Sus scrofa: one gene and its partners. The protein of the gene in region 2 binds, or shares a complex with, the protein of the main gene of each other region. Links are inferred from orthologs where the notes say so. Each region holds a gene or a part of one and is shown on either strand. Other genes may lie near its edges. The genes, in order: RAMP1, CALCR, GNB1 and RAMP3.

Region 1 (7,271 bases), on a different chromosome or scaffold from region 2:
GATTTACCAAACAATTTTTACACAACGGTTCACATAGTTTTGTTTGATAGGACCCAGTAAAGCCACTTGAAGTCCTCTCATAGTCCTCTGGGGCTTTGTTCTTTTGTTTGCTTAAGCCTTTGTTCTGAGATGTGGTAGTTACTTGGAAATCATTTTGATCTTGTCAGTTCTTGCTTTTAAGCTTTGTTAGGTGGCCCCAGGACAGCCTGTACCACTTTTCACAACTGCAAAGGCAGTGACTCTCTCTGCTGTTCTGCGTATCTCAAGGTTTTGCCACTACGGCTGGTGGAGCTGGAGCTTTTCCAGCCCCCGGTGAGCATCTAGGGAGTCTTCCAACCTGCTCCTTGCCAGGGGGTGTTCTTCCTGCCTCGGGCCGTGTCCTCCTGTGCCCGTGGTGACCAGTGTTGAGCTAAGACTCAAAGGGGACCCTTCTGCGGCTTTTCTCTGCACAGCTCTTCCTCTCAGGTACCCCGCAGCCCTGCCGTTCTCGCTGCCTGGCTTCCCCGTCTCTGTCTCCCCAGCTCTGGGAGCCCTTGGGCTCTGTTTGGGTTCTCCTCCCTCCCTGGGTCTGGAAGCTGCAGGCGGCGAGCAGCTGTCAGGGTCACCTCACTTCCCTCCCCGATCTTAGGGGTCCTGCCCTCACGGCCTCTGGCCCAGTGTGACCACTGCTGTTTCCTCTGTTTTGTCCAGTAGTTTGGTGTCTGGGGAGAGGGTACATCCACTCCCTCTGACTTTGTCGTGGCTGGAAGCGGAAGTCTTAGGTTAAGTTTGAATTTTGACCAGGTCACAATTCAGTGTTGGTCAGGTCTTGTTGACCTGTCTGGACTGTGTCTTTAACCCGACTCTGCATGCAGTAAAGCACGTGGCCCTTTTCTCCCCTTTTCCAGAGTTTAGCCTAGCATCCAACTGGATGGAGGCGCCCAGGGAGAGGGATGCGTTTGCATGCTACCAGCTGGAAATACAAATTCATTGGACAGAATCTAGCCAGGGCAAAACGGTCAACTCAGGTTATGTGTCGTGGCTGTAAGGACATGTGATAATGGGTCTGTCTCTCTTTCTCCCTTTGCAGAAGGGAAAACCCATAGTAATTACTGGGGCCTCTCTCATCCAGACCCAAGGCGCAGATAGGAAAACCACTGGGGGAGAGGGTGCATGCTGTGGACACCAACTCTGGCGTCCCCAAGAGAAGTGTGAACTTCCGAAGTCTGTGAACTTGAGAAATAGGCTTTTTGCTCCGTCTGCATATCTGTTAGGTGTGTGTGCGGAGCTAGAAGGCAGAGGACTTCTGCTGCCCAAGCCCTGCCTCCTGCTGCCCTTGAGCCTCGAAGAGAGAATGTTGCAAACAGTGGTGCAGGTGTAGGAGTCCCGTGCCCTGAGCAGTAAGAGGGGGCTCAGCTATAAGAAGACGCGGAGAGGCCCACACGCCAAGGCTGGAAAGGGTGGCTCCAAGGGGCCAGTGGAGGCTGGGTCTGAGAGGAGCAGAGATGCCTGCCCTCCCCCTCACTGGTGCCCAGGTGGCAGTGGACCTGTCCTGGGGTTGGGCTGGGGCCCCACTCATCTCCCCCAGCCGTGCCTTTCCCACCTGGCATGGTCCCCGGTCACTGGCCCTTTACTCTGGCCTGCTGCGCTCCCATGCTCTCTTCCCACCCAGCCCTCAAGACGTCCTGCGCTGCAGCTCAGCTGCGTACCAGGCCCCTGCGTGTGACTGAGACCTTCGCAGGTTCTTCACTAGATGCACCAGCCGCAGGGCGAGACCTGCGTCCTTTACCTGGCACAGCTTTGCACATGGCCGGGACTCAAATGTCTCTTAATATTTAAGTGAGGGAGGCCGGGCCACCCATGGGGGTGTATCTTCCTAAGGTTCAGCAAGAGGGGCCACTCAAGAGAGCCTGTGCCCCCTCCCATCTGACACAGACCCCTCTGGCCACCTGGGAGTCTGAGTCAGATGCCACTCAGGTTGTAGGCCTGCCAGCCTTGAGCGCCCTCCCTCCTGTTCTCTGAGCTGACAGCAGGTGGCCCTCTTCCCCCTCGTTTAGCAGGGAACGGCTGACCACGGAATCCAGAATCCGGCACTAGGCACCCTGCTGAGTCCAAGTGATGTGACCATGGCTGTCGGGGTAGCGACCTCCTCCTCCAAAGGCAGCGCCTGATTGCTTAGCATGAGCATAGATGTACCAGTGGTTCAGCATTCTCCCTGGAATAGGCTGGTTGTAGGTCTCAGACTCGGCCCAGGTCTGGCCTGTTGCTGTGGCTGTGGTGCAGGCCGGCGGCTACAGCTCTGATTTAGTCCTTAGCCTGGGAACTTCCATATGTGGCAGGTGTGGCCCTAAAATAAAAATCAAAAAACAAAAACAGAAGGCAGTACTGCAAGGCCAAACCCAGCCACTAGTAGAGCTTAGAGAGCCCAGGTCAGCTTGGCTCCCGGGCTGACGCCTCCCGAGTTTATGCCTCAGGTCCGACCCAGGCTGGGGAGGCCTGCTTAGGCTTCCCAGGGCCCTGGTGCGTGCGTCCCCCCAGGGAGCCCCGAGTCAGAACGACATCCAAGGCTCTCCCAGCCTCCTGCCTCTCACCACCCATCACCCTACGCAGGAGGTCCCCCAAAGAGCCCTCCGCCCTCCAGCCCCAGGAGCTTCGCTGTGCACCTTCCAGGCACCTCCGCCGCTGCGCCCACACCCACCCTCATCCTCGGGCTCCTCACTGGCCCTGCGGCCTTTGAACACCGTGAGCCCCTGCGAGCGCCGGGGCTGGTTTTGTCCTCTCAGGACCCCAGGACCTGCACGTCGGGAGAAGCAGAGGGGCAAGGGTGGCCTCGGCCTTTTGCCAAGCAGGCCCCCGCGGCCGGAGTGGGCTCTTGGACCTAAGGAGAGGGGGATGCTGCCCGGGCTGACAGCGAGAGGCCGGGTCTGGGAGACCCGCCGCTTCCGGAGCATCCACTCGTCGCTTCCCGGGGGGGGGGAAGGGTCCCGGAGACGCCACGCGCAGCCCCCTCGTCGCCGCGCTGTCAGGGCTCCTCGCCGAGGGTCGGGCCGCCTCCAGGCCTCGGCCCCCGCCCCCGCGCCCCGCCGGCAGGTGCGGGCGCGCCTGGCTTCCCCGCGGTCCGCGCTCCCTGCCGCTCCCGCCCCGCCCCGCCCCGCCCCCGCCCCCGCGGGGCCGCCGCCTCCTGCCGCCGCCCGGCGGGCTCAGTCCTCGGCGGGGCGCGCGGCGGGCGGACTGGGCGGACTGGGCTCGGCTGCGCGCGCCATGGCCCGGGGCCTGCGCGGCCTCCCGCGGCGCGGCCTCTGGCTGCTGCTGGGTGAGTAGCGGGGTCCCCGCCGCCCCGGGGCCGCGGGCGGGGGCCGGGCGGGCGCCTCCCCGGGGCCAAGGGGCAGCCGAGGAGGCACCGCGGGATCGGGGTTCTGCGGGGCGCCGGCCGCTTCCCCGCCCCGCACGCCGGGGGCGCAGGCTCTGAGCCTGGGGGCAGGCACCTTGCAGATTCAGGATGTCGCCTTCGGCACCACGGGCCGTTTATCTAGAAGGTTATAGCTAAAACTGAACCTCTGACTGTCACATGCAGACGTTGCTGATGTGCAAATAAGCCCCCTTTGCAGGTGTCCTTTGCAAAAGGAGGCCAGCTGTCCTCTTCGGGGACATTTGGACAGCTTTTGCTTGTTTGCTTGCTTGTCAACTGGCGCTTCTGGCTACTCGAAATTCAAGGAGGGACTCTCGGTGGGGTAGCAGGACGTGCTGGGCTTTCTGCTTTGAGGCAGATCATAGACGGAAACCCAGTAGTGACAGGAACGGGTCCCGCCTTAGAAAAATTAGAGAAATTGTCATCTTCACTTCCCTGTCCTCGGTGTTTTCATAAAGAGCTAATCAGCCTTCCTAAACTGCTTTAACTATCGGTTGAATTTCATGTATTTACTTACCTTTTAATAAAAGTGAAAGAGGTTATTTAAAGTGGAAGAATCCAGGGGCCCTGGGAAGCCCCCCCCACCCCAGGCATTGGTGGCACTTGGGTCCTTGCTTCAGAGCAGGTGATGGTGGCCAGAAGCACCTGCTGCACGGGTCCCCTGGGTGCAGGGGGGCCACCACACTTGGAGCTGCAGGAGAAGTGGCTCAAGGGGCCTGTGGCCTGTCTGGGAAGAGAGGGGCTGCGGATGGGATGCCTGGGAGCCCTGCAATTCCCGTCTCGACCGGGAGTGTTGTTGGCTCTGCAGAAACCCGTAGCATCTGCCTCAATAGCCTATAATCGGAACGCTGTTTTGGCTAACGCTGTGTGAAAAGCACAATCTTAGAATAATATTATTCTGTTCTTTTGCATTGGGAATCTATGGGCTTGACGTGAAACTTATTGTTTTAGTTTCCTAAGACGTGAACATTTCTATTTGCAAGTTGGAGGGCTGGGTTGGGTCATTTTTAAACATAAATAAATAAATGCCCTTCCCTGATGTCCAGGAGCTGCACCCTCCGTAGCTTGTCTAAATAAAACCCTGTATCATAAGCGCATATAAAAACCTTCCTTGTTGACCAAGAAAATGGCAACATGTTCGGTGGAAGTTCAGAGTCCTGTGATCTTACCAGTATTCTGAGAGGTCTGGCTAAGTTCTGTCTTGGAAACATAAACTTTATGAGGTTATCAGTGAAGTAGTGTCGTTCGAGCCCAGCAGTAATTAGGATTTCAAGAGCACACAGTTTTCTTTCCGAGGGTTGGCATTAACCAAATCTCCTTGGTGATGAAGATTTTGCTGCCCAGAGGAGCAAGGTGGAATTTCTTGTTTTTCAGCAACCAGAAAAAAAGCGGCATTTCCAGAGGATCCAGGGCTAGTCTCTGAGAACCTCATTGTAAGCTTCTGTTTTTATGAGCCCGCCTGCACTCAGGAGTCCTGGCTGAGCCCGTCTTATAGGAACTCAGCTGGCATCTTTCCTGGCATGAAGGGGAGAGGGACGTTTCTTTGCAAGGCTACTGCATTTATTGAAATACATGGCTTTATATAAATACAGGGTTAACTTTTTGGAACCGACTGGGACATGGCAAGAAATGCAACAGATGCAACTCTCTTTTGGATTGTCATGCCGTTTTAAGTCTAGAGGCAGTTCGAATCCTGGAGTCCACATCTGAAGGATTCTCCTTTGCTAATCAGCTCGGTGTGTTCCTCTACCCTCTTTCTGTGTATTTAGCTGCAGGGAGACATTTCCGGATTATCTTCCTTGCACAGGTGCCTGCCCGTCAGCCCCAGGCCAGGGTTGTTTACGTCCGCATCGGAAGTGGTGGCAGCAACATGTCAAGCTGGACTCCTTCCTTTCTAAGGCAAATAGCCAGCTGGGAAAGTCTGTTCCTCCTGATTTTCTTCCCCCAGAATGAAGCGGCGCCCCAGCTTCTACTCATTTAGAAGTGGTGTCAGCAGAGGGGTGTGGGCGCCCCGTGTGGCATAAATCCCAGCAGAGATGCTGAGCCCCCAGTGGTGGAGCCCTGAGAGATTGGCAGCCAGCATCCCTCTCCTTGGGGCACAGAGCCTTCCTTTCCTGGTCCACCTGGCAGGTGGGCTCCCGCCTCTGTGCGCCCTGGCCCAGGCCTGCCTGCTCAGGGCAGGGCGGGAACCCAGGCTGGGCCGGCTGCTTTCTGCTGGAGCCTTGGGGGGAAGCCAACTCTTTCCTCTCAGCCGGCTGGATCTGAGTGTTGGGCTGCCAGATCCCATCCTGTGCCCCCGGGCTGAGTTCTCCTGACGCTTCCCAGCGCTTGGGTTGACCCCAAGAGGTGGACCTTTCAACCCTGTGACCCTGTGGTGTCTGAACCAGGTGTGTCTCTTTGCAGGACAGTGCCTGGTGGGGGGCAGATCTGGTGCCAGTGGGAACCTGCCCAAGAGCCTCTTTTGCTCCTGGGGACTCAGGGAAGACCTGGGGCGGGAGGTGCTGCGGCCGCTGGGAAGGGAGAGGAGCGGAGACGGGCCGGGGCGGCGGCTGTGGCCTCCTGCACCTGTGCTGGCCCTGGGCCCACCTTGCTGTCCAGCGTGCTCCTGGCTGATGGAGACGGACGCGAAGCGAATGGGTCCTGCCCTCCCCACACATGGACACACACGGACACACAAGCACGGAGCCCCCGGAGGGATGTCCCCCCCCCCCCCCCGCCTGCCCCGCCGTGCCTCTCCCCCCCAGGATGCTGGCCTTGGGCTGGGGACGTTTCTAGAGAACTCGTTTGTTCTTAGCCAGGAGGCTCCCAACCTCAACAAGAACTTATCCTTTGTAATATAAGGACGTTCTTGTCCACGGGGAAACTTTTTCCTCCTCAGATTGCTTGAGTTTAGTGTTTTCTCTGACATCCAAAGACACCGCTTCAGTCCCCCGTTGGAACACAGACTCTAAGCAGCTTCGTTGGTGCCGAGTCCACGGCCGGGCAGCGGGGGAGCGAGGGGCCCTGGGTCTGAGCATCACACCGCAGCCAGGCCTTCCCTGCTTGCCCCTCATCAGGCCTCGCGGCATCTCCTTTGTGTCCCCAGTGGCCACACCCGCCCTCCCAGGTGGCACTCCTGCCCACGCTTCTGTGGGACTGGAGACCAGAGAGCCCAGCCGAACCCCCCTCCACCAGCCCACGGCCACTCTGCCCTCTGCCTGCGGTCCTGGTGCCCAGGCCCCGTGCAGGCAGCACCCCCTACAAGCCCTCCGGATAACTACATGGCCTCCAGGAAGCCGTTTGGGACCCCCCCCCCAGCCACCTCCCCCGGGGCAGGTCACCCTCCTCTGTGCCCCTCATCCCTCCACACGGGCAGTGCCACCCTGTGTGCCTCGGTTGCACCCAGGCCAGCACACCTCGAGGCCCCTCCCGTGGGCATCTCCTGCCTTCGCTGAGGCTTTGCTGGAAACCAAGGGGCCCAGGAGCAGAGGGACCCAGGCCAGCGCCCCGCTGTGCTCCCCAGGGCTCTGCGCCCCCACACCCAAGGGGCGCACGGGGGAGGGCTCTGAGCCAGGCCTCACCTGGGGGCAAGGGACAGCAATTTACCCAGCAAACGATGGATGTAACGCCTGCCACGGTGGCACGTACTCTGGCCAGTTAGCGACTGGAACGAAAGCAGTTCATGTGTCACATAGCAAACCCCACGTTATGGGAAGAGGCGTGAAAGGCATAGTCAGTGAGCAGAAACCTGGTGACGCCCCAGGTTGGTGCTCTCTGCTGGTGCCTTCAATGCATCTAGAAGATTCCATGGATGCGTTTGTGAGAGGAGGGCTGGCGGCAGGCTGGCTGGATGAGCAGATACGGGAGCACTGGGGAAGCGCTCACTCTTTCTCCCTGATACATA
Region 2 (6,768 bases):
GTATGTACCTGTGTAACAACCACTCCAAATAAGAAAAGAGCATTTCCATCACCCCAGAAAGTCCCTTCTTGCTCCTCTACTGTCAACAACTCCCTCGCCCTACCTCAAGTAACTGCTGATTTCTATTACCACAGAAATGGAATAATACATAGTGTGTATTTTGTTGTGTCTGGTTTCTTTGGCTTAACATACTATCTTTGAGATTCATTCATGTTATGTATATTGGCATTTCATTCATTTTTACTGCTGAGTAGTATTGCATTGTGTGAATAAAACACACTGGAGTTCCCGTCGTGGTTCAGTGGTTAGCGAATCTGACTAGGAACCATGAGGTTGCGGGTTCCATCCCTGGCCTAGCTCAGTGGGTTAAGGAGCTGGTGTTGCCGTTAGCTGTGGTGCGGGTTGCAGACGTGGCTCGGATCCTGCGTTGCTGTGGCTCTGGCATAGGCCGGCGGCTACAGCTCCAATTAGACCCCTAGCCTGGGAACCTCTATATGCTGCAGGTGCAGCCCTAAAAAAGACAGAAAATGAAAAACACATATAATTTTTTTATTCATTCTCTGGTTTGTGGAAATTGGAATGGTTTCCAAAATTTGACTATTAGGAAAAAACCTGCTATGAATGCTTGGATACAAGTCTTTGTGTGGGCATTTGTTTCCATTTCATTTGAATAAGTACCTAGGATTAGAACTGCCTGTTCCTATAGTAACATATGTATAACTTTTTATGAAACTGTCAAACTGTTTTCCAAAGAGGTGGCTTCATGTTACATTCCCTCTAGCATTCTGTGAGAATTCCAGTTGCTCTTTACTATTGCCAGCACTTGGTATGATTACTCTTTTTAATATCAGCCATTCTGGTGGATTACAAACTACTTTTGGCTATGTAGACTAATTTTGAAACCAAGGTTGTTTTAAAAATTTAATTGATTATTTATTTAAAAATTAGAATGACTTTCCCACCTGGAATAGAAATAAATGTTGCTCCCCCAAAAATTCAAGAAAGGATAGGGACCTTTAATGAAAACTGAATTCTTATGGGGTGTTGTATAAATATTCAAGACCCACGTTAGTAGGTCCTTGTGATCATACTTGAACACTTAGTAAGTACGTCACTACTCTGAAAAGCACTGAAAGAAATTGAATTTGCTTTCAAAGGCCAGGAAAATTAGAAGACAGTGTGGGTGATCAGTTACTAATGCATACTTCTTCAGTGCAGGAGCAGAATATGGTCTATGCCTTTGACCGTTTTTATTTTTCTTACCTTTATCTGAAGCAAACACAGGGTTTGAAATTAATGAGGAAATAATGTCTATATTAAATTTGATGGTTCTGATGTGGCCAACATATAGTAAACCATGGGTATAAATAAAGAGCTTGGATATAAATTCAGACGGTCTTGTTTTCTCCTGGCCCAACTTCTTACTAGTCATGTGATTTTGAGTGACTTAACTTGAATCTGTGGGTCTAGTGTTCCTAATGAATAAAACATCTTGATATAACAAGAAGGGCTGCTGTTAGGAACAGCATGGCAGTGTATGTGAAGTGCCTGAAATACTTTAAGTGCATGATTAGTAGTTGTTATGGTGATGGCTCATGGACCAAAGGTGAAATGGAAGGTGGTTTAGTTTGCCAGAGCCCAGGGGAATTTAGTGCAGGAGGACTCTGTGGTCTCCACTTTCTTATCAGCAACATCTTTGTCTTTGGTCTTTACCTTTAAATCAGAGAATTTAGTTATAGAATTTTTTTTTTTAAAGCAACCCAGAAACCTATATTGTTTGTATGGCTTGTACAGAAATGGGCTTATGCTCCCTCCACACAATTACATTAAATAAAAACTATTTTTTAAAAGGACTCTCAGATCAAATTGCTCTTATTACAGATGATCATTAAATTATCCTCATTTTGAAGTTACAATATGTATGCTACATAGAACCATCCTCACAGAAAACTCCACAGAGACAACACTGTTGATTGAAAAGGCAATTCTCACCACCAGTGCTGCCATGACAGGGCCGTGGATGATGTAAAGCAGGTTGGTGTCCACACTCAGCCAGCAGCTGAAAATGAGAGGAGGGAAGATATTAATACAATTGCAATTTATTTACAAACATGTTAACTACACCCCACAATACTTACTTGTCATTGAACAACACTGCCCTAGTAATGGCATGAGCAGTAGTTGGAATCAGCGGGAACCCTACAATGTGAAAAGGTAGAAAAGCTAGTTATACAGCCGTATGGAAAATGGTAGTTTACTTTCAAGAATAGTGGCACATTTAACATCTTGTCTATATTGCTCTGATGTTTTTGTGCAAATCATTTTTGGTCAAACCAGATCAAAGGTGCTCTTAGAACATCATGTTCTTTCAGAGAGTTTGGTTAAGAGTATGCGGATTATCAAAAACCTTTTTCCCAAATCATCTAATCTGGCAGGAACACTATCACTCTTGCTTCATTAGAATACCATTGTTACATCTGTGATGATAATGATGGTTTAACTAAGACCACAGAGCTTTTTCCTGTGTGGGAATAGACGGGAGCTACAGTTGTCCAGGAGGGAAGTGGCCTGACTATGAAAAGCCATGGTCTGACTACTCCAAAGACTCGATGCTCATGGTATTCTAGGATTTTTGTTTTCCTATTTTTATCATGTGCATTGATCCTCTTTTCTTTCACAAAGAACAGTTCAGAGTAGCTAGTACACACCCTAGCTTCTGTAATGGCTGCAGGACCTTTATTAAAGCAGCTCACTATCTACTTCCCTGAAGAAACTTTAAGGGCCAGTCAAAAACAACTTTGAATTTATAAAAGGAGCAATGAAGACAGCTGCTGGCAATGCATCCTGTCAGGCTGACTCTTTTAAAAATCAATCTTCATTCTATAAAAGTAATCTAAAGTAAAGTTGTAATTTTTGTGGGGAAAAAAAAAAAAAGATTATCTTTTTCTTAGATGTACCCATGCACAGGAGAATATTGTTTGATTTGGTTGAGATATTTGTAGAAAGGGTTTTAAAAATTATCAGATTTAGAAATGTCTCAGAAGTGAATTAGAGCTACACATCTTTATTTTCTGTGAATTATATGCCAAAAGAGAACAACCAGAGCTTTCACCTAAGAACAACCTCAGCTTCTTAACCCATGAAGCATATCATTGATTAAATGTTTGACTTGAAAGAATTTTGAATTTGACTGTGTACACAAAACATAATTGTGTTTCATTCATAGCCATTCTAACATACCATTTTCCCACTCAGGTTTAGAATCAGAAATTCACTCTCTGATGTATCCTGAAATACACATTTTAGAATTAGCCAGCAAGAGAAGCACTATGGCTGTCTTACTTCCACCTCATCATATGGTAGAAAAGAAAACGTGTGTCTTACTTAATGTAGGGCAATAAAGACTGGTATCCACTAATTCCCAGGGCTGTTTCACCTTCATCTGGTCACTATGCCTCTTTTTATGCAGTTTTTCTTTCCTTTGCCTCTTCTCCCTCCAGGCTTCAAGAGCCGTAACAACCTTTCCCTCCCACTAAAGAGGGTGAGATGTAAGAATAATCCTCTCTGCTAGGAACCTTCTTCAGGGGCACTAGATAAATTCTATTTGTTCATTATAAAAGTCCATGGGGGGAATTTCCTTCTTTGATTTGTAACAAGGGGAAAACCCAGCAAGGATAGGAATCAATCTGAAGAGGGTTGTAAAATAAATGATTTTTTTTTTCCTGAGAACTAAACTTCAGTATTTGAAGTTGCTTCTATTTGAGCAAAATTGACCAGTAAGTGGTCTGGTACAGACTTGTAAGGAAAGAGACAACTGAAAGAAACATTTCCTGTTGGGGACAAGTTCACTACCAGAAACGCTGCACTCAAAGGGTGATGGTTATAATGTCTCTTATAATTCTTTAGGATGGAGTGGGTACTATTCATCACAGCTGAAATGAATGGATGAAATCATTACCAGCAAACAAAGTCAGGTCTTAGGACACAGTTTTCTTGGGTCAAACTTCCTGCTGTCCCACTTTCAAACTCTTTTCAAAACACAAATTACACCTTATTTCCTGGCATTGGATCTAAAATTTAGGACCTATCATACTGTTTTGGTGTGAACACAATTTCCAAAGGACAATCAAGATGTTATCCAGCAGAAATTTCTTCTTCTCTGGCACCTGACGTGAGATAGCCAGGACAATTACAAGCTTGATTTCTAGCCTTACTGGATGGTTAAAATGGGTGGTAAAGAAAACCCCAGGATGCTGAGCTCTTGGGGGTGGGGGGCAGCACACAAGATGAGGCAGTTTGGGGGTGTAGTCTAGAGGCCTGTCCAGGTCACAAAGACCTCCCTTCTATCTTTTTCTGGATGTGTTGCCATCCCCAGACATGTTTGCGCTGTGTGACAACATCTCCCTCAGTGTCCTTGGCTATAGTTCATTGAACCATGGCTGGCCTCCTGACTTGACATGGACCCATCAGATCCTCATGCACTTCTATTCAGAACTGGGAGTTAATGACAAAAGTTTAGTTTCTCTGTGTCCCTGGAACATAAAAATGTGAAATCAGGAAGCCTTGGGTAGACTGTATTTTCCATTAGTACTGGGGAAGAAGAGACCCTGTGATCTGTGGTCTGCAGAGAAAGTGAAGGATTAAAACAGATCCTAAGAGAAAAGGAGAGAAGACAGAGGGAGAGAGCTCCTGCTTATCTGGCCTCAGGATAATAGCCCAGCTGCATTCTGGCTCTTGACTTCCATGAGATACGCTTAGAGTCTGATAATTTCTTTTTCTGATTAAATTAGAGTATCTTATTCTCTGTTACTTGCAACCAAAGAGCCACAGCATCATCAGTTCAACTTTGAGGCAACCCAAATATCTGCCCTTTGACCTACCATTAAAGGACTATCCCACAGGGTTTGGGTAACGTTATTTGGTTAAAATCTATCTCCTCCCACTAGGGAGGGGTGTTAAGAAAACAAAGATTTCATCGGGCCCTCCGGTGGATTAGACTTTGCGCTGCTTATAAGACTTCCCTGAAACATTTCTATACAGTTGGTAACAGTATCTGTTAGGCAGAAGTTTAACTACAAAGGGTAATGTATTTAGACAGCTTATGGATTACGCTCCCTTCTCAAGAAAGCCTGCCTCTCTTATCAATGTTTTTAGGGGCTCCCCAAAATACTTCATTAAAGGGCAGGCTTAGTTGAAGGCAATCCACAGCCTCCACTCCAAGAGTCACCTTGTCTGTGCCTAGTCAGGGCAGCCCTTAGCTCTGCAGACAGTGCGGAATAGCCCTCAGGGTCTTCCTTCCAGATGGAAGTTTCACAGAATGTGTTTTTAACCCAGAGCTTCCCCCCATCTCATTGCCCTATAATCTATCTGCTCCCCTTCCACCACTGGGAGCTGTTCTTTTAGCAGCCCTAGGGGAAGGGGAGCATTCTAGACAGTCCTCAAGAACCTTAACTTACTCAATTGGTACAGAAGTAGCCACATTTCAAACAATCCTACTATAAGCTTTTCAAAGCCATTGCCATGCACTATAATGCCAGGTAGGTTCCATTTGGATGCCCATGTGGTTATATCAATTGCTAGCTGGACTCCACTTCCTGAACTTTCACTGAGGAATCCTGCTGATGGACTATGAGGAAGGAACATTCTTGTGGAAGGGAAGTGGGGCCAGGATAGGCTAGGTACATAATTCAAAATGTGAGGTTCTTTTTTCTCTAGAAACAGGTGATAAACCAAACTGAAGAGGGTCTAATCAGATGGTCTCTCAATCAGGGCATGTTTTCTCTCGCATCTGTTAGCTGGGTTTGTTTCCTGAAGACATTCCCCTCCTCTACACTCACCCTCATGCTCAGCACAGTCTGTATGAACTTGTCAAACACTTCTACCAAGTTCTCACAGAGACTAAACCCCTGTCAGCAGCCGTGCCCCTCTCTCCTCAAAGGACCTGGGCCCCGACTCTTCTCTGAGACCAAGACTAGAAGAAGATTGTAAATATACAGACAGAGGTAAAGATGGCTCAAAACTCAACTGTGGAAAATACCTACCCCAGCCCAGGACATGATACCACCACAGGCGCTGTCCCTCAGCGAACACGGACACCACGATCAGAGTGTGAAGATAGACCCCCTCGCAGAGCATCCAGAAATAATTGCATGACATCATGTACTGGTGGAAGAAGTGCAGAACCTTGCAGATCGGCTGTTGGAAAGAAATGGAGATACTCAGTGGAAGACACTGGCAAGGGTTTGGCAACAGAGTGTGTGTGAAAATGAGCCAGAGTATCTGCATTCAGCCTGAAAGGCAGTTTCCTCAAGCATCTGTCAACACATGGCATCAATCAGAGTTATAGTGCATAGATTATATTACATATAAACCAACAGCCAACCAGAGTAATGGATGCCTAGTCCCCCAAATGTTCTTTTCTCGTTACATTCTGGTGACTTATATAGACTAGACAGGTTTATTTTCCTGCCATGTGTCTGAGACCCATTTTTGACAGAATCCAAGAACTTGTCACATGACTTCTATGGCCTTTATTCTATGACCAACGAGAAAAATAACACAGACATTGTTAATGTTTTCCTAGAGTTCACTGATCCATTAGTGATGTCTCCTCAGCAGTAAAAGAAAACCAGGTGATAAATTTCTCATATATGAGCCAGGAGCTATGTTGAGCTGAAATGAAGGGAGTGATTTTGCATTTGTGAAGGAGCCTTAGTTTCTATATTGCGATAGAAGTGTTTGGGGCTCAGAGATAAGGATGGCATCCCT
Region 3 (6,768 bases), on a different chromosome or scaffold from region 2:
AAAAAAAAAAAAAGGAAGCCCATACACAGTCTCTGGTGGTAAATAATTCGCTGATGCTACATTCGGTGGTTCCTGAAGCCCCCGGGGTCATGAGGTCGGCTCCTGGCTGGGTTCCCACAGGGGGCAGCACGTCCTGCCCCGGGAAGCAACCTTCTCACAGCAACAACCACGAGCTGGGCACCAACGGGAGGCCAAGTGCCAAAGCGCTGGAAGCAGACAGCCTGAAAGAAGCCTGTACGCGGAAGCCAAGAAAGGCACTGGGGGGGTCTTTTTCTGGGGCAGGGCCCACCTGTGGCAACCGGCCACCACAGGGCCACACTCACAAGTCAGGCCTGTGGCCCCAGCTTCTTGAAGAGCCAGGAAAGAGGCCTCTGGGCAAGCACAGCGAGAAAGTGAAAGAAGAAACCTCGAAAGGCAAAAGCCACAGGAGGCCCTAAAAACCACACAGCTGACTGCCCACATATCTGTCTAAAGCACTCGGTCAAGACAGCAGGGCCACTGGCCTGGCTGCCGCCTGGCGGGACAAAGCGCCGCTTCTTCAGGAGCCTGCCCGGCACCCGGCTCACCAAGTCCGGGATTCCCATTCCAAAGTCCTAGATGTTGGAGTTCCCGTCGTGGCACAGTGGTTAACGAATCCGACTAGGAACCATGAGGTTGCGGGTTCAATCCCTGGCCTCATTCAGTGGGTTAAGGATCCGGCGTTGCCGTGAGCTGTGCTGTAGGTTGCAGATGCGCTCGGATCCTGCGTTGCCGGTGGCTACAGCTCCGATTCCACCCCTAGCCTGGCCACGGGAGCGGCCCTGGAAAAGACAAAAAAAAAAGGAAGAAGAAGAATCGACGTTTCCAGATAAAGGGGACAGAGGGCCCACTGCAAGCAGATGTGCAGCCACGATGAGGACTGGGGGCCCCCAAAGGAAAGCTCGTGCCTTCGGGAGGAGAAGGGTGCACACGAGGAGTGCTCGAGGTCCGAGGAAGTGCAAAAGCCTGGGCACATTTCTTCAGGAGCTGAGACGCTTTCAGAAAATAACAGTATGTTGTGAGAGCTTTAAACACACATAGATGCAAGAGCTATGAAAACCTCGTCAAGAATGAGGAAGGGCAGAAAATGGGCATTTACGGCAGCACAGGGGTTGCATCTTATGTAAATAGATACTATGTTACCTCCAAGTGCACCGTGAGAAGGGTACGGATGTACAGGGCAATCCCCACATAAGCCACGAAAAACCACTGCCAGAAGGTAACCCAAACAATCCAAGAGAGAAAACTAAATTTCGACACCATCAGGCAACCCGAGAGGCGGCAGGAAAGGAGAGCACGTCACAGGTGAGGGAGCTAAACCCACTGTCCCCACACGGTGGGGAGCAGAAACGAACCCACACACTTGCAGGGCAGAGGCACTGAGAATGGATAAACAGCAGGAGCCAACTGTATGCTGTCTCTAAGGGACGCTACTTCTAACTACAGTTAAGCTGAAAGGAAACAGACGGGAAAGAGGAAACTGTGCAGGCACTAAGCATAAGAAGGCTGCAGCGGCCACAAGAACATCAGGTAAAGCCAGCTTCCAGCAGAGGTTCCACACTGCGGAGAAAGGGTCAGCGCCTCCGGAAGACACGACAGCCAACGCGCACACACGCGTGCACTCACAGAGCTCAAAACACACGAGGCACGGATTCCCAGAACTGAGGGAGAAAGGGAGAACGCCATATCCTCAGGGACCTTAACCGCCCCGCCTTAGCAACTGACAGAAATAAAACGAAGCCAGAGAAGACCCCAGCGGCAAATCCTGACGACCACGCTGAGAACCTGCCCGGCAGCCTGGCTCCTGCATGCGGCCTGTGGCTGTCGGACCACTTGCTCCCCCGAAAGGAAGTCCCCAGGTAGGTTAAAGACACGTGCTCCAAACAGGAGGCACTTAGTTAGAAATCAGTAGCAAGTTACCTATGAAAACTTCAGCTACCTGAAAATTAAGCAACACTTAAATGACCAAAAGGGATTAGGAATGTTTCACACTGAGTGATAATAACATGGCTAAAGCCACACTTGGAGGACAATTTATAGCTTTGAGCACATGCATCTGAAAAAGAAGGACGGCCCAAGGCCTTCTAAAAACCTAGAAAATTACAAAGAAGTGACCGTAGAGTAAGCAGAAGGCAGGAAATAATGTGAGACAGAAGTCATGAAATACAGTCTACCTTTAAAAGGACAAAGGACAGATTTTTTTTTTAGGGGCCACACCTGCAGCATACGGAGGTTCCCGGGCTGGGGGTTGAATTGGCCCTGTAGCTGCCAGCCTACACCAGAGCCACAGCAACGAGGGATCCAAGCTGCATCTGTGAGCTGCACCACAGCTCCCGGCAATGCCAGATCCTTAACCGTCTGAGCGAGGCCAGGGACTGAACTCACGTCCTCATGGACACTACTCAGGTTTGTTACCGTTGAGCTGCGACGGGAACGCCTAGACTTTTCTTCCCCTCCTTTTTTTGGCCACACTTGCAGCACGTGGAGTTCCTGGGCCAGGGATCAGATCCGAGCCACAGCCGTGACCCACACTGCAGCTGCAGCTGCAGCCACGCTGGCCAGTGGTCAAGGCCGCGTCCCAGCGATCCCGCCGCACCGCAGCAGGACCTCCAGGGCAGACTCTTTCACTGGTGAAGACGAGCTGAAGAGACCACCTGTCGGGGCCAAAAGCACTGCTAACGAGATGACCCTCGGGAGCGTGCGGCGCGCAGGAGCCCAGCAGGGGTAATAATCTGAACTGAGAGCACAGCCACAGAAGCAAAGTATCAGAGACCTGCTTTTTTCAGAAAGCCTACATCTTTTGTGACTGACAGTAACTAAACAGGGACGCCCGGTGGAATGACAGCCCCGGGCCGAGCTGACGCTGTCCACAGGCGTCAGTCCCGGGCTCTCTCCCGAGTCCTTGGGGGGAGGAGGTCTCACATGATCACAAGGACGGAGGCTCCGTCGCGGCTCAGCAGGAAGAACCCGACTGGTCTCCATGAGGACGCAGGTTCCATCCCTGTCCCCGCTCAGTGAGATCCCCGTCCCCACTGCCGTGAGCTGTGAGGTAGGTCGCAGATGTGGCTGGGATCCTGCATGGCTGTGGCTGTAGCTGTGGCGGAGACCCCTAGCCTGGGAACCTCCATATGCTGAGGGTGTGGCCCTTCAAAAAAAAGACCACGAGTTCCCGTCGTGGTGCAGTGGTTAACAAATCCGACTAGGAACCATGAGGTTTCGGGTTCGGTCCCTGGCCTTGCTCAGTGGGTTAAGGATCCGGTACTGCCATGAGCCGTGGTGTAGGTCACAGATGCGGCTCGGATCCTGCACTGCTGAGGCTCTGGTGAAGGCCAGCGGCTACAGCTCCGATTCGACCCCTAGCCTGGGAACCTCCATATGCCGCGGGAGCGGCCCTAGAAAAGGCAAAAAGACCAAAAAAAAAAATCAGTAAGGATGTTTGTGGATAGATGTGTGCATGTGTGTACACGTGTGTTTAGGTTAGGAAATTCTCGTGGAACGGGACTCAAGATGCGAGCCGGTTTAGGACGAGAGGACAGAGGGAACTACACTTTGTGAGCAGGGAGACACGGGGCTCCCAGCGCCCGAGGGTGCCCTAAGTCCCCGGGATCCTTGGAAAGCACATGCTACGGCCACTTCAATTCAAAGGCTTCTCACAGGTCAAGGTGCACCGAGGCCTGCCTTGGACTCCCTCTTTCACACTGTTTCTGGCTGTTACTGGGACCAATCTCACTGAACGCTTGGCGAGAAGAGGCGAGTGCCCGAGGCGCCTGACCATGCCCGCGCACCCCGTGTCCACAGCCTGGAGGCCGGGGACGAGCACACGCACCTGTGTGTCCGGCCAGCTCCCGACTCACACGCACGTTCCCTTCGCGAGTTTTCAGATTGTAAATGGAGCAGATGTTATCCAGGCCACCGCAGGCCACGTAGTTCCCAGAAGGCGCATACGCGCACGTCATGACCCACGAGGAGCGCAGAGGGATGGCGTGGACCTAGATGACAGAAGACACACGATGCGGGCACGCGCAAGGTCACACACCCCCAGTCATTCACAGCTGACACTAGGACTCTGCTGCTGGTCTTCAACTGTCATCGCATAGCAGGTGACCCAGCAAAACTGGCCAAAATTATTCTGAGACTAATTTATACGTGTGGCCAGTCAGATAACGTAGTAACTGAAGCAGAAATGCAGTGAGCACCACTTCCGTCTACCGTTTTGTGAAAGTCACAGCATACAATTCGGCAGGCTCTTAAGTAAGAGTGGCACAGCCTCCAAATCAAAACTCGAGAGTAAACGGAAAACATTTCACGGGCCTGTCAAACTGTCGCAAAATTCACTTACAAAATGAAGTCTTTTGTATTGAAGTAATCGAGCTAGATGTTATTGTAATTGATCCTGTGCTTGAGACAGGTGCTGCAAGTGCTGGAATCTCCTCGGGTATTCTCCAGTAAGATACCACCGCATTGTATCTGTTACACATGTTTAGACCAACGGCGGTCCTTTTTTCACTCAGTGTGATACAATCTTGGGCTAAATCTTTTAAAGAATTTAATTTACACGTCGAAATGTCTTTCAGGTTACTTCCTGAAACACTGGTAACCAGAGACAAAGCTCCGTTTTGTATGTCCAACTAAAACGCAGACCTTCCCGGCTTGAGCTAAAACTGGAATCCAGGCTCCCTCCACCTGCCCCGTGCGGCTGCCACAGGACCTTTGGGACTCGACACCACAGCGGCGCTGGCGGGCCCGCCGCGTCCTGTGCAGCGAGCCCGGGGCTGCCTCTGCAGGCAGGGGTGCGGCCGGCCTACCTTGTTGGTGGTGTAGCTGTCCCAGATGATCAGCTTCCCGTCCTGTGAGGCACTGACGAGAAGCCTGCGGGAGAGAGACGAGAGCACGCGTGTCAGCACCGCAGCACGGAAGCCACGCAGAGCCAAGGGGAGACTGAACGTGGGGTGACTGACACGCGCATCACCTGGACAGCTGCTCGAGACAGAGCACGCTTAGTTGTAAGGGAAAGAAGGTACAGTTGTCAGGCCAATGTCGAAAGCATTTAGAAGTAAATGTGCCCACTGACCCTAGTGAGATTCAAAGCCTGCTTCTCTGCTGGCAGCACCCAGGCCGCTTGCTCAGAAAAGACAAGCTGACTTCCCGCACCTGCTTCCGTTCCGTTTCTCTTCACCATCAATCAGGTCTGAGCCCCAGAGGTCTTTCATGAGCCAATGGTAGTATAAAAGACTTAGTCTATAGCTTTCTGTCCCATTCTGACACACAGAAAGCCTAAGAAAAAGGACTAATATGTTTTCAGATACTCAAACCTTGCGACAATCCTCACACACATGCACAAAACAACAACCCCAGGACAGTGTCCCAAACTGAAGTGAACCTGGGACCCAGGCCCGCTAGAAACAGCAAGGAGGCACCCTCTCCACCTAAAGCTTTCCAGAGACGACAAAGTGAAGCGCGACTGTGCCGGGTCCAGAGAGACCAGGAACTATTGTGTTTCTCATGCCATTTTCTTGCTCTGGTCAATGGTCCTACGTTTGAGATCTGTGTGTTGAAAAGGTGCCATCCGTATTTACAGGATTAAGCAGGAAACCGCCAAAGGAAAGCCTGACAAACGGGCAAAGGAATTTCAAGTGGGAGTACATCCTGAAGAGCACAGCTACTCAGGACAGCCCAAGAACCTCTGTTCTCCAGACCGCGGTTGGCGAGCACCCGCAGGAAGGCTCCCCGTGACCCCAGGCAGAGGGGTCAGCACAGTAAACAAGAAAGACAGCGCTGGCTTCGGAGAGCTCACCCACCCACACACCAGGGTCAGCCCTCTCGGCCACGAGCACATCTGGCGTCCCGAACCGATGGAGACCTGGAGGAAAATCACCTGACTCTCTGGCAACCCCCACTTTTCCTCCACTTGGTTCTGCCGCTTGCAGCACGGAGGCTGCTTAGGGCTGAAAATGCTTTAGCGTGGCCTATTCTGAAACTCGTCACAGAACTAAAGGAAGGCTCCAATCCTGCTGCTTTTGGACGCGGATTCTCGCGTCGAGGTTCGGTTGTAAACACATCCGGCACGTCGAAGGTGCCTGCGGCCTCGCATCGGGCTCACTCTGCGGCTCTGCACTGCTCGGCGTGGCTGCAGCGGCACGTCAGAGCCCCGTGGAGAAGCTCATCCTTGGGAGGGTCACCTCTGCGGGATCGCCTGGGCAGAAAGCTTAATATCTGCTGACTCGACCAGGGGCTAGAGGGTGTTAAGCAGCCCCCCTTGATCCTTCAGAAGGTGAGAGAAGACACGCCGCTTAATCCCAGGCAGGGCGACGTTGGGAGAACTGGGTTCCTTCTGCCTCCCAGAGCCTTCGGCTATCCCGAAGCACCTACCACCATCCGAACCCAGTGCTGAGAGCCAGGAACGAAGCCTTGGGCTCCCGGGAGCCTTGAGCAGAGGTCCAGGCGCGAAGGCCTCAAGTCCCTCACTCGCCCAGAGGACAGAGGCTTTCAAGCTCCTGGGTTAGCTGTGATTTGCTCTCGATTATAACACTCCAGTAAGACTTTAAAAGGGGGAGACATGGAGTTCCCCTTGGGAGTGCTGGGATGCCGGCTCCATCCCCAGCCTGGTATAGTGAGTGGGTGAAGGATCTGGTGTTGCCACAGCTGTGGCTTAGGTTGCAACTGAGGCCAGGATCTGATCCCTGGCCTGGGAGCTCCATATGCTGTGGAGCAGCCAAAAAAGAAGAATTAAAATTTAAAAAAAATTAACAG
Region 4 (7,308 bases), on a different chromosome or scaffold from region 2:
CTTTGTTCACTTACAGAGGATGCGGACGGCAAAGTAGAGCTAAGCAGAAGGTGGTGTGTCACACAGTGGAATAGTGTTCAGCCTCAGGAAGGAGGGGAACTTCTGACACTGCAAAACGAGGAGCCTGGAAGAGGTGATGCTAAGTGACATAGCCGGTCACAAAAGGGCAGACGTGAGTTCACTTATGGGGTCCCCAATGGTCAGATTCATAGAGACACTTCATGGGTGCCAGAGGCTGTGGGAGGGGGCAAGGGGGAGTTGGTGTTTCATGGGGGCAGGGTTTGGGAAGGTGAAAGTTCTGGAGATGGATGGTGGTCATGGCTGCACAACATACAAGTTTGCTCAATGCCGCTGAACGCTACACGGACAAGTGGATAGGAAGGTAAATTTTATGATGTGTGTTTTACTACAGCAGCAGCAGCAACAACAACAGCAGCAACAACCACACACAGAGGGTTGAGCCCTGGGGCTCTGGGAAACCAGAGTGTCAGAGGATCTCCTTCCTGCCTACGGTGTAGACAGATCGCTGCCACTTCAAATGCGGGTGTCACTTTCTCTGCTTCACTGAGGATGGAGACGCAATGTTTCACCGCTAGGGGGCGCCAAGTACCGATGCGCCTGCCCTGCTCCTCGGGCCTCTCCAGTCAAGTCTCCCAAGGTCTAGGGCTTTGCAGGGAAACCTCCAGAGAGGGCCCTCCCTGAGCCTGGCTCGGCTCCTCTCCTGCTGGCTCCTGGGCGAGATGCGTGGGGCTGAGATGGCCCGCGTTTCTCTGATCGCATTTGCTCACAAGCCCTCCACTTAGAAGTGCCTTTATTTAATTATTTATTTATTTATTTATTTATTTTGGCTGCACAGGCCACATGTGGAAGCTCCCAGGCCAGGGATTGAACTTGTACCACAGCGGTGATCCAAGCTGTTGCAGTGGAGGGTTAACCGCTGAGCTACAGGAGAACTTTACTGTTGAGAGAACTTACTCTTAAAACCATTACAAGAAAGAGAAATGACCGAATAAATATAACACTGTGTCAGTCAGGGCTGGTCAGGAGAGGGAAGCTATGCAGTAATTGGCACAGGAGAGGCTGATACAGAGAACTGGGAAGGGAGACGGGACGGTCTACGTGGGGAGACAGGACACAGCTGTAGGGGCACCCGGTCAGCAGACTCCTGGGGGCCACATCTTTGGGGGAGTACATCAGGGGCCAGGTGCTGCCTTGGTGTATCATACATGTAAGTGGAACTGAGCCTCCGAATGTCACAGGTGAGAAGACCCAGGTGCAGGGGTAGCTGCCTTCTCGCTGGGTCTCAGACTCTGGGGTCCAGCTGTATAGGTGGAAAGCAGCCCCCACTCCGTGCTGCCCTCTGGGTGGCACTGACTGTCAGGTCACCGGCAGGCTAGCAACACCACTCAGGCTCATTCCTGAGGGCTTGGCTTGCTCCAGGGAGCCTGGGCCCTCCAGGAGCCACACAGGAAGTGCCTGTCTTAGGGGCTCTTGTGCCCATCCAGTGCCTGGGTTTCCCAGAGGACCTGGCACATGTCCCAGGAGCCTGCAGAGGCCCCTCCTCAATCAACATATCTGCTCTTTTTCCATCCGGTGGCCTGCGGCCAGACAGGAGTGAGGAGAGGACCCTCTAGGCCTGCTAGAGAAGATGGCGTCTGATAACCATGTCTTCCCACCTGTTCAGGTGATGGGGCTGCAAGGAGGAGTCAGATGAGGCTGCTGGGCTTTTCTGAGCCAGCTGCGGCCATCTGGGTCCTCCTCGACTCCACCTCCATCTCCACTCGTGCCACCTCTACTGTACCATCTCCGCGTCAACCACCAACTCCACCTCCACCACCATCTCCACCTTCACCACCTCCACTTCCATCACTCTGTCCATCATCTCTACCTCTGCCACCTCCACCATCTCCGCCTCCACCAGCAACTCCACCTCCACCACCATCTCCACCATGTCCACCAACTCCACCTCCACCACCATCTCCACCTTCACCACCTCCACTTCCATCACTCTGTCCATCATCTCTACCTCTGCCACCTCCACCATCTCCGCCTCCACCAGCAACTCCACCTCCACCACCATCTCCACCATGTCCACCAACTCCACCTCCACCACCATCTCCACCATGTCCACCAACTCCACTTCCACCACCATCTCCATCTCCATCATCTCTACCTCCACCAGCAACTCCACCTCTACCGCATCCACTACCATCTTCATCATCCCCACCTCTATCACCTCTGCCTCCACCGGTACCATCTCTGCCTCAATCACCAGCTCCACATCCACCTCCACCACCATTTTCACGGTCTCCACCATCTCCACCTCTGCCACTTCCAACCTGCATCTCCACCTGAACCATCTCTACCTCAACCATCACCTCCACCTCCACCACCACCTCCACTTCCATAATTTCCATCTCTATCCCGCTGTGGGCTCAGCACAGGCTCCTTTGTCCTCACCTCTGTCCTGAGAATGGGGCAGGGATGTTATTCTCTCCAGCTTCAGATGGAAAATGCTAGGCTCCTTGAGGGTCTTGTGTTTTGGATATAATGGAGCCTGGCTGGGTCTATGTCTGTGCATCTTCCCTTCTCACAAAAACCACCTGCACCAGCAGTCATTTGCTCTGTGGGGGCACAGGGGAGAGGAGCTAGAGCCTTGCTTCTCATGGACTCCTTCTAACAGGGGCAATGGGGCAGCCTGTGGGCCCTGGGAAGTTTGCTGTGGGAGACCGAGGAGCTGCATGGAGGTGGGGGTGCAGGGAATGAACCTGCAGGGACATCAGAGCCAGGATGGGGGAGGGGAGGGCATCCTGGAAAGAGGAGAAACTTTATCCAGCGCTGCCTCCCAGGGTGCTCATTCCCAAGTACTGGTGGTGTGCGGAGCACGGCCCCAGGGGGCAGACTTCAGGGTGCTGTCTGGTCTGGCCCCCTCTGATGACCCACCCTCCTGTCCCAGCCTGCTTGTGTGCAACCATCTGTGGGGTCTGGCCTCACCTCTCCTGTGGAGTGGTGTGGGCCTCCGTGATCCTGTGGCCTCCTGGGACACTGGTGACATCTGAACTTGCTCTTGGTTTGTCTCTCTTGGTGCAGGGCATCTGAGAAGGGTGGCTGGCAGGATGCACGGATGGAGCCTGCAGCCCCTGCCAGGCCTGGGTCACAGGAGGTTCTGGGTCATTCCTGCATCTGTGCTCCCCACCACCTTGGGCAGGCTGGTTGGTCAATTTTAATTAGCTTTAATTCCTCCTTGAAATAATTCTGGTTCTTAGCAGAATAAGCGCAGAAATCCCTTATTAAGTGGGCTTCCTAATGCAGGAAAGGTCAGCAGGGCTTATGCGAGGCAGCTGTTCAGCAACGCCTGCGCTAGAATCCTCCCACACCCCCGGCCTTCCAGGCCGGGTTAATTCCTGCCTCCCCCACTCAGAGAGGCGGAGGCCCTGGCCAGGTGGGGATCCCTCCTGCTCATCCCTCTGACTTGGGATGGATGCTCCGGCTAAGAGCAGTCAACCCCTGAGGGGGTCCTACCTTCCCAGCCCTGCTCCCTGAGCCCTCAGACCAGCATGTCTCTGAGCACTGCAGGGCAGAAGGGTTTCCACCCCACCAGGTGACAAAGTGCCCAGATGTCCATGGGGGCCAGGGTCTGTGCTAGGGGATGAGTGACAGAGGCGACCAAACCAGGCTACGTGACCCATGGTAGGAGAATCCTGAGTCCCTCCTCCCTCCCCTCAGAGCCCATGACACTTCTTTAGGTCAGGTCATTAGGGACACCCAGTCATGCTCCAGGCCCTCTTTTGTCCCCCGAGGCCTTCAGAAAGCACAGAGCAAGCACCAGGGCTTGAGGACCCGGGCCATGGGCAGTGGTGTGTGTGCAAGTGTAGGTGTGTGCACCTGTCTGTGCCCCATCCCCTCTGGTCCGGAGGGTGCAAAGGCTCCAGCGCAGGGAGGCCCCCAGCAAGGATTGGGGCCCACGGGAACTCTAGAGTCAGTCACGATTCACCATGAGGGTTCCTCGCGGCACACAGGGACTCCCCCACTCCCAGCTAGCTCCCTCCTCAGGGGGGCTCCCTCTCCGCACCCCCTCCCCCCTTCCCAGTCTCTCTTGTCCCCCCGCGCTGCACAGCACCCCCTCTCCAGACACCTCCCCGAGCCCTTCTGCGGGCTGGGGTAAGGGTGGGTGCACCTGCCGGATCCCGTCTGCTCCTTGCCAGGCTGCCCACCCCTCTCCGGTCCCCCTGCCCCGCCGGACGCCGAGGCCCCACAAGCGCGAACTTGGCATGGGCCTTGCCCCTGGAGCAGGAGGAGGGGGCTTGCCCCGGGGAGGGGGTGCCTCCTGGGGGAAGGACTGCCCTGTGGGGGAGGACATGTCTTGGGGGGTCAGGCGTATCCTAGGGGAGGAAGCGTCCTGCGGGGGAGCGTATCTCGGAGGAGCACGACCCGACGGAGGGCCCCTGGGAGGCTGAGGCGGGGGGAGGCGTGCATCCTCGTTGTGGGAGCGCGTCCTGGGGTGGGAGCGCGTCCTGGGGTGGGAGCGCGTCCTGGGGTGGGAGCGCGTCCTGGGGTGGGAGCCCCTCCCGGGGGCAAAGCACCTCCTGGGGGCGGGCTCTCTGCGGCCCCACCCCCCCGCCTGAGCTCCGCCTCCGGGAGCCCCTAGCGCCCCCAGCGGGGACGCAGCTGTATCGCTTGCCGCAGCTGGACTGCTCCCGCCGCAGCTGGACGGCGCGCCACAGCTGGCTAGCCATGGAGGCGACAGCGCCGCGGCGCCGGCACCTTCTTCCGCTGCTGCTGCTGCTGCTACTGCTCTGCGGTAAGAAGATGCTGGGTCGGGCACGGGGGCGCCCCAACCTCCTCGGGGGCCACGGGGACCCGCTCGGCCTTCGTCCTCCCGCACCCGCACCTGGCTGCACCTCCTCCCCTGAGCCCACCAGGGCGAGCCCCGTGCGTCCTGCTCCGGAGGGGCGAGGGGTGACTCGGGGCTCTGTCCCCAGGCTCCTCTCGAGCTGATGGCGACGGATCAGACTAGGACGGAAGGCGCGGGGTCTCCCTCGGGCTCTGCATCGCCAGTGAGCTGGGCCTGGGCCTGTTGCTCCCAGCTGCGATGTCCCCCTCGTTGCTGCCCGGGGGCTAGGGTCGCCACGGCAGCGCGACCTCCTATAGCGGGCGTGCCCATCTCTCCCCCTGTGAGGCAGTGCATTCCTTGTCCTGAGCTCGTGCGTGCGCGCCATGCACGGGGGTGTGGAGGAGAGGAATCCAGCACCGGGAGGCCTGGACCTTCCCTGCGGTGCCTGTCCGCTTCCAGGACGGTCCTTCAGTGTAAATGTGTGTGCGTGTGTCTGGCTGGAGGGGGCAGGGGGCAGCCTTCTGAGGTTTTACCTCCCAGACCCCTTCTAAGCTAGAAAACACCACTCCTGGGGGGAGGCATGGCTCACAAATAGGGAATGGATTGAATGAAAAGCTTGCTTTGCAAAATCGTTCTAAAGAAATCATCTAAGAACAAGTGACAGGGTCTGGGCGCTTGGGGAGGGCTTCCTTGGGCGAGACGAGGTGAGGCTGGGTTGCAGAGCAGGGTCTGAGCCTGGGCGGCTCTGGGAGGGGAAGCAGGTGGGTCCGGCGGGGTGGGGGTGGGGGATCCCTGGCTTGGTGGCCAGGAATCCCAGGCCCTGTCTTGGGGAGGGCACTGTCCCCTAGGTCCTTTGGGATGCTCCCTTGCCCTCACTGGCCTCTCTGACTGTAAGATGCACAACTGGGCTTGTTTGCAGTATCACTGTCAGCTTTGACCATCTGGCATTTGGAAAAGGCTGCATCAGCTCACTGACATCTTGAATTCTAGGTTACCTTTCCAGAAGGTGTCTGGGGGGAAGAAGGTGTGACTTCATTTCATATTCCGGTGTTAGAGCCCTAGGGTCAGCTGGATTTTTGGGTTGAAGGCAAGGGTGATGGGTGATTCCAGAAAGCAGGAGCACACTGAGGCAGGATCTGTGACCTTCGAATGCAAAGCCCTTGGAGGAGGAATCTTCTGATTGGTTTCGAGGGAAGCTAAGGCTGTCCTCACAGGGCAAGGACCAAGACAGAAATCTCTCTTAATAACCTCGGGCCACGTTGGCACAGTTCTGGAGGCCACCTCATCTTGTCTCCATCCCAGTATCCCCCTCCCTTGGAGCCAGGATGGGGCCAGGCCAGCTTCTCAGCAGACATCAATCCAGTGCTTGCCTGGTCAGAGTGAGGGCCCCAAGAGCTGGCTCGGAATGAGTGAGGGAGATGCAGGCAGGTCACATGCTGCTTTGTCATGGGGGAGATGGGGGCCACATCAGCCCTGGAAGCTGCTGCCTCTAGAAGGAGGATCCAGGGCTGCTGGCTGCCTATGCTCTGGATCCTGACACCCTGCTTGTCCCTGAGCTGCCTCTGGGCTGTGTAAAGTGGGGGAATCTGGTCTGGGGTAGTGTGGTCCAGCAGCAGTCTGCTCAGCTGGGCTCTGCCTCTGAGCTTCTATGTGTGTTCCCACCCAGAGCTGGAACTGAAAAGGTTTAGCTGCTCATTGCTCAAAAGTCAATGTTCTAGAGACAAGGGTTGGTGGGGTCGGGGGGAAGAGGCTTTATTCAGGAAGCTGGCAACCTAGGAAGATTGCAAACTAGCGTCCTCCCCAAACCATCTCTGAGTTGCCAATCAGAGGGCAAGAGCTTTTAAAGGAAAACTTCAAGGATATGCAGCTAGGGGGCTACGTGCAGAGCAGCACTGCTCAAAATGGAGCAGCTTATGTCATGGCTGCAGTCTGATCATCACGCAGTTAGATTTTTCCCTCTGGTGGTGGTTTTAACAGCTGCAAAACAACTCAGGAATGTGCATCACACACCGGACCTTGCTATCTATGTTCTTCAGAGAGGAACTAAAGATTCTGGAAGCACTAAATGGCTGATTTGCTCTTTGAACGGTTACCAGTCTGTAGGCTTAACTGCTATTTTTGTCATTACATGTCTACATCCTTTCAGTGATTCAATCATTAATTCTTCTTCTTTTTTTTTTTTGGCTGTGTCCGCAGCATGTGGAAATTCCCAGGCCAGGGATTGAACCTGCCCCACAGCAGTAACCTGAGCCTCTGCAGTGACACTTCTGCAGTGACACCTCCGGACCCTCACCTGCTGGGCCCCATGGGAATTCCTCATCATTCATTCTTGAGCCAGGCTATTTGTGACTCTGGGGAGGTCTCAGGAGACTAAAGCCTTCTGGGCTTTGGTACCTGAGGGGCCCCACAGGGTCCTGGTAGGTTTCAGTCCTTCCTTTTCGGTGATATCCCCCCACCTGAAGAGGCACAGGTGC

Evidence for each region.
Region 1: the proteins of CALCR (region 2) and RAMP1 are in contact, whole or in part, in a cryo-EM structure (PDB 9AUC), measured with the Homo sapiens proteins. The link is inferred for Sus scrofa from reciprocal best matches to the Homo sapiens genes CALCR and RAMP1. Residues at the interface, in NP_001158210.1 of Homo sapiens: Arg45, Lys46, Met49, Asp50, Gln52, Tyr53, Tyr56, Asp57, Met59, Gln60, Gln61, Thr75, Trp76, Asp77, Gly78, Asn124, Arg126, Phe235, Leu238, Ile242, Thr246, Val250, Ala251, Gln257, Arg258, Trp261, Tyr262, Leu265, Phe269, Ile276; in NP_005846.1 of Homo sapiens: Trp59, Ile63, Tyr66, Arg67, Ala70, Asp71, Phe83, Trp84, Pro85, Val89, Asp90, Phe93, Leu94, His97, Gly98, Phe101, Ser103, Arg109, Ala110, Val111, Arg112, Asp113, Pro114, Ile118, Leu119, Phe122, Ile123, Pro126, Ile127, Val129.
Region 3: the proteins of CALCR (region 2) and GNB1 are in contact, whole or in part, in a cryo-EM structure (PDB 8F0K), measured with the Homo sapiens proteins. The link is inferred for Sus scrofa from reciprocal best matches to the Homo sapiens genes CALCR and GNB1. Residues at the interface, in NP_001158210.1 of Homo sapiens: Arg174, Ser175, Arg404, Gln408; in NP_001269468.1 of Homo sapiens: Thr47, Arg52, Phe292, Ala309, Gly310, His311, Asp312, Trp339.
Region 4: the proteins of CALCR (region 2) and RAMP3 are in contact, whole or in part, in a cryo-EM structure (PDB 8F0K), measured with the Homo sapiens proteins. The link is inferred for Sus scrofa from reciprocal best matches to the Homo sapiens genes CALCR and RAMP3. Residues at the interface, in NP_001158210.1 of Homo sapiens: Arg45, Lys46, Met49, Asp50, Gln52, Tyr53, Lys54, Tyr56, Asp57, Met59, Gln60, Arg74, Thr75, Trp76, Asp77, Gly78, Asn124, Arg126, Phe235, Leu238, Ile242, Thr246, Gln257, Arg258, Trp261, Tyr262, Leu264, Leu265, Phe269, Ile276; in NP_005847.1 of Homo sapiens: Cys57, Leu59, Ile63, Tyr66, Glu67, Thr70, Tyr83, Trp84, Pro85, Gln90, Ile93, Thr94, His97, Arg98, Phe101, Ser102, Cys104, Val106, His110, Leu111, Glu112, Asp113, Pro114, Val118, Leu119, Leu122, Ile123, Pro126, Val127, Leu129.

What each region holds. Positions count from the first base shown.
Region 1 is NC_010457.5:137,487,216-137,494,486, forward strand, and holds the start of RAMP1 (receptor activity-modifying protein 1 precursor), read left to right. Parts: upstream 1-3,224; 5' UTR 3,225-3,240; coding exon 3,241-3,292; intron 3,293-7,271. UniProt on the Homo sapiens protein: Accessory protein that interacts with and modulates the function of G-protein coupled receptors including calcitonin gene-related peptide type 1 receptor (CALCRL) and calcitonin receptor (CALCR). Required for the transport of CALCRL to the plasma membrane.
Region 2 is NC_010451.4:73,294,173-73,300,940, forward strand, and holds part of CALCR (calcitonin receptor precursor), read right to left. Parts: intron 6,196-6,768; coding exon 6,042-6,195; intron 2,200-6,041; coding exon 2,139-2,199; intron 2,060-2,138; coding exon 1,993-2,059; intron 1-1,992. UniProt on the Homo sapiens protein: G protein-coupled receptor activated by ligand peptides amylin (IAPP), calcitonin (CT/CALCA) and calcitonin gene-related peptide type 1 (CGRP1/CALCA).
Region 3 is NC_010448.4:63,875,789-63,882,556, forward strand, and holds part of GNB1 (guanine nucleotide-binding protein G(I)/G(S)/G(T) subunit beta-1), read right to left. Parts: intron 4,888-6,768; coding exon 4,824-4,887; intron 4,008-4,823; coding exon 3,845-4,007; intron 1-3,844. UniProt on the Homo sapiens protein: Guanine nucleotide-binding proteins (G proteins) are involved as a modulator or transducer in various transmembrane signaling systems.
Region 4 is NC_010460.4:50,340,528-50,347,835, reverse strand, and holds the start of RAMP3 (receptor activity-modifying protein 3), read left to right. Parts: upstream 1-3,090; 5' UTR 3,091-3,116; coding exon 3,117-3,212; intron 3,213-4,686; coding exon 4,687-4,801; intron 4,802-7,308. UniProt on the Homo sapiens protein: Accessory protein that interacts with and modulates the function of G-protein coupled receptors including calcitonin gene-related peptide type 1 receptor (CALCRL), calcitonin receptor (CALCR) and G-protein coupled estrogen receptor 1 (GPER1).